Linked DNA regions of Kluyveromyces lactis. The protein of the gene in region 1 purifies or fractionates together with the protein of each later gene. This does not show direct contact. Links are inferred from orthologs where the notes say so. Each region holds a gene or a part of one and is shown in the gene's direction. Other genes may lie near its edges.

What was found.
Region 2: the proteins of HFM1 (region 1) and MLH2 purify together in Saccharomyces cerevisiae (affinity purification with western blotting; 3 studies listed by BioGRID, with this or other methods). This does not show direct contact. The link is inferred for Kluyveromyces lactis from reciprocal best matches to the Saccharomyces cerevisiae genes HFM1 and MLH2.

What each region holds. Positions count from the first base shown.
Region 1 is NC_006040.1:980,691-984,958, forward strand, and holds the start of HFM1 (DNA helicase), read left to right. Parts: upstream 1-1,349; coding exon 1,350-4,268. Other genes in the region: RMR1 (Rmr1p), read right to left, coding at 1-738. UniProt on the Saccharomyces cerevisiae protein: DNA-dependent ATPase and 3'-5' DNA helicase. Required in the control of double strand break transition and crossover during meiosis. ATPase is slightly better stimulated by single-stranded (ss) than double-stranded (ds)DNA.
Region 2 is NC_006042.1:1,583,723-1,587,744, forward strand, and holds MLH2 (mismatch repair protein MLH2), read left to right. Parts: upstream 1-1,594; coding exon 1,595-3,427; downstream 3,428-4,022. Other genes in the region: DPI35 (Dpi35p), read right to left, coding at 424-1,347; POM152 (Pom152p), read right to left, coding at 3,492-4,022.

The sequences.
Region 1 (4,268 bases):
ATGCACCACTGCAAAGCTCCCATTATTGTCCATTACTTCGACCAAATCGTTGTATCTAGACACGAACCTTGGTTGCAAACTTGCTACAATTCGAAGTGTAGAAGGAACGTTCTCTTCACCGTTTCTTAAAGAATTCGTGCGTAGCACTTTAAAAATGGAAATAATGTCGTCCATAGTCATCTTTTTGATGTAGAGATTATCCTCGTTACACAGCAAGTCAAGGTTGGGAAAGTGAAGTAGTATTTCCTTGGATGCTAGTGACAATGCCCCGTGTTTGTTCTGTAAAAACAATCTGATTGCAGCAATTAAATAATTAAGCTCCATATGAATCAGTGATCTGTCCTCAATAACAACGCTTTGCTGCTCATTATTATCTGTACCATTATCATTATCTTTAGAAAACATGGGATAGACTTCTCCTGCATATTCCAATGTCGTATCGGGGATATCTGCTGAAGGAAGGGATTCCTTTACGCTTTCACCTAACCCTTTCAACTGGTTCCGTAAGTCCTCATCAGAATCAATCATCTGCTCGTCCTCATAATCACTGACTATACTATCGCTGTGAACGCTCATAGAACCACTGCTTGATTGTTCGTCCCTATTAATAGTTTCAATACCATCGTTTTCGTCATTTTCAACAGAAGAACCAGCTTCGTTTGCTTCGGGAACATGTTCCGCAACTGATACGGAGGAAAGCTCTTCCAGCCGAGGTACCTCTTGATCCTCCAAGCTCATACTCACAAATCTTGCACGTACGAGGCGACACCGTAGCTCTTTACAACTTCTTTTACCCTTATTCCGTCTATTCCACGGCTGTAATCATCATCAATCATAATTCCTTTGTTTTCTCCCTTTATGTTTTCAAATTATCAACAAAGTAAACAAACACTCAACCTGAATCAGTTCAAAGCAAAAACCATCTTCAACATAGCTTAGGAACTGTTCATAGTATCATAGCATATACCATTACATCCCATATGTACCATTCGATGAAGGAATATTCGAGTTCAAATGATACAATTTTCAAAAGCGGTAAAAGAACACAGCAAACCTCCGATTCTTCAAACCGAATCTGTAAGTGAAATACGCTCATGATAAAAACGGATACCCTTTCTCCAGAATAACCCTCGAGTTCAAAGAGATGTATAAAAATGTGCATTGGACCTGATTTAAACGTCATGGATTTAGTACCTAAATTCTAACACTATTTACAATCGAATAACGTCCATAAAGACAATGGAACAAACAAGCCAACTAGCCGCCCAAACTTTAAAGTAGGTATATCATACAACAGCATCATCGACGATGATAGTGGGGATGAGTTAAGTACTGATGGCCCTTATAACATGTCGAAAGAGTATGAAATTAGTAGCTCCAACACTTCAAATGATACCACATTCCAGCTTAATTTCTCGAATTCTTTGACTCGTCCATTAAGGAAAAAACCCAAAATCGCAACATTACAAAAGGACCCTGTTAATGAAATCCGTTTGTTACCTGTTTCAGTGCTACCGGACTCTGCTCAGTGTATATTCCCTTTCGAAAATTTTAATAGAATGCAGACTGAATCGTTCGAAAACATCTACCGATCCAATGAAAACTGCATCGTCACCTCCCCAACAGGATCCGGAAAGACAGTCTTATTTGAATTAGCCATTTTAAACGCAATGAACAGGCTCGATAGACCTTCTTCGGTAAAGGTGCTTTATATTGCACCTACTAAATCGTTATGCAACGAGAAGTATCAACAGTGGAAATCGAAGTTTATCATGTTATCAGTTGGAATGTTGACAAGTGATACTTCCTTCACAGAATTGGAAAAAGTAAAAGCCGCAAACATCATCATATGTACACCTGAGAAATGGGATGTTATAACAAGGAAATGGACAGATTATCCTCAGTTCTTTGCCATATTGAGCCTTGTGTTGGTAGATGAGATTCATATTTTGCAGGAGCATCGTGGAAGTACATTGGAAGTTATTCTTACTAGAATGAATTCAATGTGTCAAAATTTGAGAATAGTTGCTGTAAGTGCAACCATTCCTAATATACATGATATTGCTGACTGGTTGAAAACTGGAGGACCTACTGGCGTTCCAGCAAAAGTACTAGCCTTTGATGACAGTTACCGACAGGTGGTGTTAAGACATCACGTTTATTCATTCTACAATAAATTCAATAATGAATTCCAAATGGACGCTTTGTTTAATACAAGATTGGTCGAACTCATTAACAAGCACAGCAAAGGAAAACCTGTTCTAATTTTTTGCCCCACCAGACAATCGACCATTGTAACAGCAAGACACATCGCCCTACATGACCACGAAATGAATAACACCAGTAGTAAACGTTCAAATATTAAACTACAGGACAAACAATTAAGCGAGATTGCACAGAAGGGAATTGCTTTCCACCATGCCGGATTGTCAATGACGGATAGGAGCGTGATTGAAGACAAATTCACCAACGGTGACATAAAAGTGTTGTGTTCGACTTCAACTTTGGCTGTCGGAGTCAATTTACCAGCTTATTTGGTTATTATTAAAGGTACAAGGATGTGGTCCATCAACGGTTCCCAAGAATATTCAACTCTAGACATTTTACAGATGATCGGAAGAGCAGGAAGACCACAGTTTGAAACAGAAGGGACCGCATTGATCTTAACGGACGAAGGATCCCAAGAAAAATACGAGAATCTTTTGAAGGGAACCTCCACCTTAGAGAGTTGTTTGCATTTGAATCTAGCCGAAAACATTGTTGCTGAAATTGCACTAAATTCTATTACATCGATAAAATCTGCGATGAATTGGTTGAAAAACACTTTCTTTTATAGACGATATCTTAAGAATCCAGCTCATTATAGTGTTATTAGAAGCAGTATACTGACTTCGGACGCTGAATGCCAGTTAACTCATTTTTGTGAACGAACACTAAAGGATCTTCTTTCTTATAAAATAATCCTTGACAACAACGGAAATTTGTGTGCTTCTGGATATGGACAGGCAATGACTAGGCACTATATCCTTGGAGATACGGTCAAAAACATCATAAGATCAAACACATCACTAAAGTCGCTTGAGGTACTTAAAATATTGGCCAATGCTAGCGAATTTGATAGTATTCGTTTGAAGCATAATGAGAAGAAATTGTATCGAGAAATCAATGCAAATCCTCTTTTGCGGTACCCATTTACAGATAAGAAGAAACAGCTAATGTCAATAACTTCTAAAGAACAGAAAATTTCGTTATTAATCCAGTACGAATTAAGCGGTTTAGAGTATCCTTCTTACAAAGATGCACAAAAACATCACCAAACATTAGTTCAGGATAAGATGCTTGTTTTCAGACATGCTCCTCGAGTACTCAAATGTATGATTGATTGCTTTATTGAGAAATATGATGGAGATTCATTGAAAAGTACTTTATTTCTTTTGCGTAGTGTCGCCGGTAAAGGTTGGGAGGATACTCCGATGATCTTAAGACAACTAAACACCATTGGTTTGGTATCACTACGGAAATTAGTGAGTCACGGAGTATGTACATTTGCAGATATGGAAAAACTCACAGAACAACAGATCGAATATTATCTCAGTTTGCGACCAGGCAACGGATATAAAATCAAAAGTGACTTACAAATGATTCCTTTATTATCGCTCGAATACAGTGTAGAAGAAAAGACGGTAACTCAAAACGCAATCCATGTTTCATTTAAAGTAGAAGTACAAGCCAATTTTAAATCTGCATCTTGGCATGGTCAACAACTTTGTATGCTGATCATGTTGAAGACTGATACAGGCATATTAATAGATTTTCGGCGAACGTTCTTGAGTAAGTTAAAGACACCCAAAGCCTTCAGAATAACCATCCAGGTAGACAGAAACACGAATTTTATCGAGTTTGTCTATTCATGTGAGCAAATAGGCGGATCAAATCGTGAAATCAGGTACTATTTGAGTAATGGGTGCTATGACGATATGCCAAAATATTCGAATGTACTTGAACAGATTGATTCAAACCAAACTGGCTCTTTCCAAACTTCAATAAATTACAGTGACGCCAGGGAAACTATAAACAATGAAACAGATGATGATGAAGAGCTATTAAATTTGTTAGCGGAGAAAAATAATTCAAATGCTAACAATGAACGACAAGAAGACTGCGACAGATCTCTATTGGATAATGGAAACATGAAATGTCACCATACTTGCAAGGACAAGTCAACTTGCCGCCATCTTTGTTGCCGGGAAGGAATTCCTAGAAACACC
Region 2 (4,022 bases), on another chromosome or scaffold:
CTACATCCAGATACCGTTACAACGGATACGCCATTCTTCGAGCTCCATTAACCTGTAGCTAGAAAAGCACGAATCATGTTTCGTTGTGTTTGGCATTACAGAGAATTTGACAAATCTCGGAAACTAATAATTTGATACTGAAGACATGAGCATGCTATGGCAGTAGATGATGCTCATCAAATGTATATACCTGATAGTCTTGACTAACAATCGTGTCGGGGCAAATGGCGCAGTTGGTAGCGCGCTTCCCTTGCAAGGAAGAGGTCATCGGTTCGACTCCGGTTTTGTCCACTTATTTTTTTTCCAATCCAAAACCTGACAGTAGCATGGGTACGCAAGGTGGAATTTAAGAGAGGGATAGTCCATCATACAGAGTGTCGTTTGCTCAATCAAATATTTACAGCACTATATCTTAAGATGCCGCTACTGCTGAAATAATAGGGCCTCCAATGATTTAAAATTTGGTAAAACATACTGTCTGCTGTTTAATTGTACTACATCAGTGACTGCATCAGATTCTTGTAATATAACCTCTGAATGGTGTAACACTTTCCTCAGAGATAAATCATCTTCTGATAACTCCTTTTTGCAAACATCAGGAGTTGTTATGTCGAAGTAACCGAATGAGTTTGATCTATCTACAAGAATTCCATTTACTCCAGCTTGGAAAGCTCCTCCCAGATCCGTTTTCTCCTCATCACCAACATGCCAGACGTGTGGCCGAATATTTTCCAAGTTCTCACGTTGACCACTAGTGTTGTGGCGTTTCAACATATGAGAGACCGCGTAATTAAACATAGCCGGGTCGGGTTTTTTTATCTCAAGATCATAAGACAGATAGATATTTCCGTCGAAATATTTCTTAAGATCTAAATTCTCTAACAACGTAAGGACAATGGGGTCAGTATTACTGACGATCCCCAAAGAAACCTCAGGATGGTTCCTCCTCATTGTCTCCAAAAATTCCCTGACGTCTGGGTATACCGTATAGGCAGCATCGCCCTCGAACCTTTCTAAGATTTCTTCTACCATTTCATTTGGTATCTGTATTGGTTCAAACATATCCCTAATTAGATACTCCCACCATTGTTCAGCCGTGATACCAGAATTTTTACCATATAAAGGATACTTTTTACGGATATTACTGAAAACCCCTGGAAATCTCTTAGTGAGTTCTTGTGGATTACCATTAATCCCGTACTTGGCACCCACTATACAATACTGTTCCATTACAGGTTTTTTGATGGAATAAAGAGTATTATATGCATCAAACGTTATGATTTTTGGCCGCGAGTGCTGCAAACTGCCATTTTTGAGTACCTCTCTAGGAATTCTTACCGGTACCATATTTCCCCGGTTAGATTAACGTTACTTGACTTCAATCTACTACTCTGAAATCGAGAGCTTTTCTATGTTTTATTTCTTTTAATGGTTCAACTTGGTATACATTTTTCAGAAAAAGCTTGGTCGAATGTACTCTGAAGTTCATCAACTTAGATCTGACATATAAATACAGAAAGCAGATATACAATAAAAAGATGCCTTAAAAAGGAGTAGAGATTCTGCCCAGGGATAAATATTGTAAAGTCGCTGTATGAATAATAGGTTTCATTGTTGGCTGTTTGAAAATAGCACTTCAACAAACCGTGTTATTGATAATCCTGTCTCGGCGGTTAAACAGCTGATAGAGAATTCGATAGACGCCAATTGTACTAAAGTGCTGATCAAAATAGATGAATCTAGCGGCGGATGTAGGTACATCCAATTGAATGATGATGGTAACGGAATAAGTGTCCAGAAGCGCAGCAGCGTTTTTGTTAAACACTTCAAAACTGACGGTAAATCATGCAAAAGAATAGGGTACAAAGGAAGAGCGTTATATAATATTGGCAAAACAGCATCGAAGAAGGGATCTATCGAGGTGATAACACGGACTATTTCAGAGAATGTTGCTGTTAAATGGTCACCACCTAGAATCAGAATAAATGAAACTATTAGATTTTCCAAGGTAGTGAATCCACCGGGTACGACAGTTATTCTCAGAGACCTAATGACGGGAAGTAAAAGCAGTAGACTGGCAAAGAAAGATAAAAATTATATTAAAATGATTAGGGATATGCTTTTTCATTTTTCTTTGATTCATAAGCATATATGTTTTAGTTGCCAGCTTGTCAATCCTCTAAGGGACGGAAGTATCAAGACTTTAGAATATGTTGCGCGGTTTGGTAAATATGAAGACCGGATGTCGCAATTCAAAAAACATGTTACCAAACAGAATCTTATAGTTGAGTTCGAACACTTTGATGAGATAGAGCTAAGTGAATCTCTAAAAGTTAATATCATATTGCCCAAAATTCGAACACATGGCAGAGTGACAGAATTGATGCCGAATCTTAAATATCCTTGCATTAATGGAGAAGCAGTAATGGTACAATCAGGCTTTGGTAAAAAAGTCAATCATTTTTTCAAGGAATTTTATAAGCATTTCGGGAAACCAGAACCGAGGGCATGGTTCATTCAATTTTTATGCCACCATACTAGCGACAATGCTGTAGTCAATGGCGAAAATAAAGCTGTCGCACTTACACTGGAAAAAGCTCTATCTATTTTGCAATGTTCACTGCTCACCTTCTACGCTCCACACATGCAGTATAATGATCCTTCAAATTCTACCCATATTGATAGTGAATCAGTGATTTTCACTCGTAGAATAATTAATACAAGTGACATTCCAAAGCAAATTCACCGGCAAATAACCAATAACCCTACTCAACAAATTCTCGAGAAGGAATCTGAATGGTTGACAGACATGTATAGCGGCACGCTATCCGATGGTAGATCTTCACCAGTAAGGGAAAACCTTCTATATTCTGACATTGTGAACACCGAGGATTGCTGCATTGAGCGAGATCTTGAAGACGTAGAGCTATCCAGAAATACGACTCTTTCAAATCCATTTATTCTTTCTCGGATCCGTGCCAGGAACACTACAGAGATAGTTGACGATCAAATTAAAAGTTCGGGCATACTAGAAACATACTATCAGAGGCAGACGCAATCTTCTGAGTTTTTTCAAGAACCAACAAGCAAGAGAAGAAGAATTTTGGAAAATGATCCAGAATATGACCATTCAACAACCCTTGTTGATATTGAGCATACAGCAACCAACAGCTCTACTAAAAACCTCGACTTACAGTTTGAACATACTTTCAATCTCGGATGTCGCAAAGCTGTCGGCCGAAGCGTTCCATGGAAGCTTCGTTTCTTGAAAAATGCCTATAAGAAGGAATTGGTCTGGTTCCACAGGAGCGGCATGCCCTCATTACCTTTATTGGATGGAATACAAACGCTAATGGAAGGCGAAGATAGTGATGTAGATTTACAGCTAATTCTTATGCCAACAGGTTGGTTTATGATAGCCCTATAGTTCACCACTTTGAAGGATCAAATGAGTTTTAAGATGGTTATTTATTATACAATGAAATCAAATTTCAATCCAACAACGCACGATTCTTAGCTGCGCAGAAGGCGTCTGACACTTCTAAAGCTTCATATGTACCTTGTAGACTGGTCACAACTCTGTACTCGTAAGTATAGATATCGGAAACTTTGTGTGTTTCAACAATTTGTTGCTTTCTGCCCTTTTTGGTGCCAGAGTTTTCAGTACGGACGTAGGTTAATGCGAAAGGAGGTGTACCTTCGAAGGAGAATATAACTTCAGCTTTGTCACCTTCATGAATATCTTCAACAATCTCTTGGCCTTGTGATACTGTTACCGACGGAATTGGATGTATATTCAAAGATAACCTTTCAAAGTCTTGTTTCATCTTCGGATTTGTGAAATCTACTACACATTGTGATGAAGAATCCTGGATTGAAAAAATAGATATAACGCCGGGCTCAGATGCATATCTGACGAACTGAGAGGAACGTTCCTTGGATTTTAGCTGCTTACCATTGAAGTCGTACTTTATTATGAATGGAGGTGTCCCACTCAATTGGTATCCAACGTAATCCCCAAC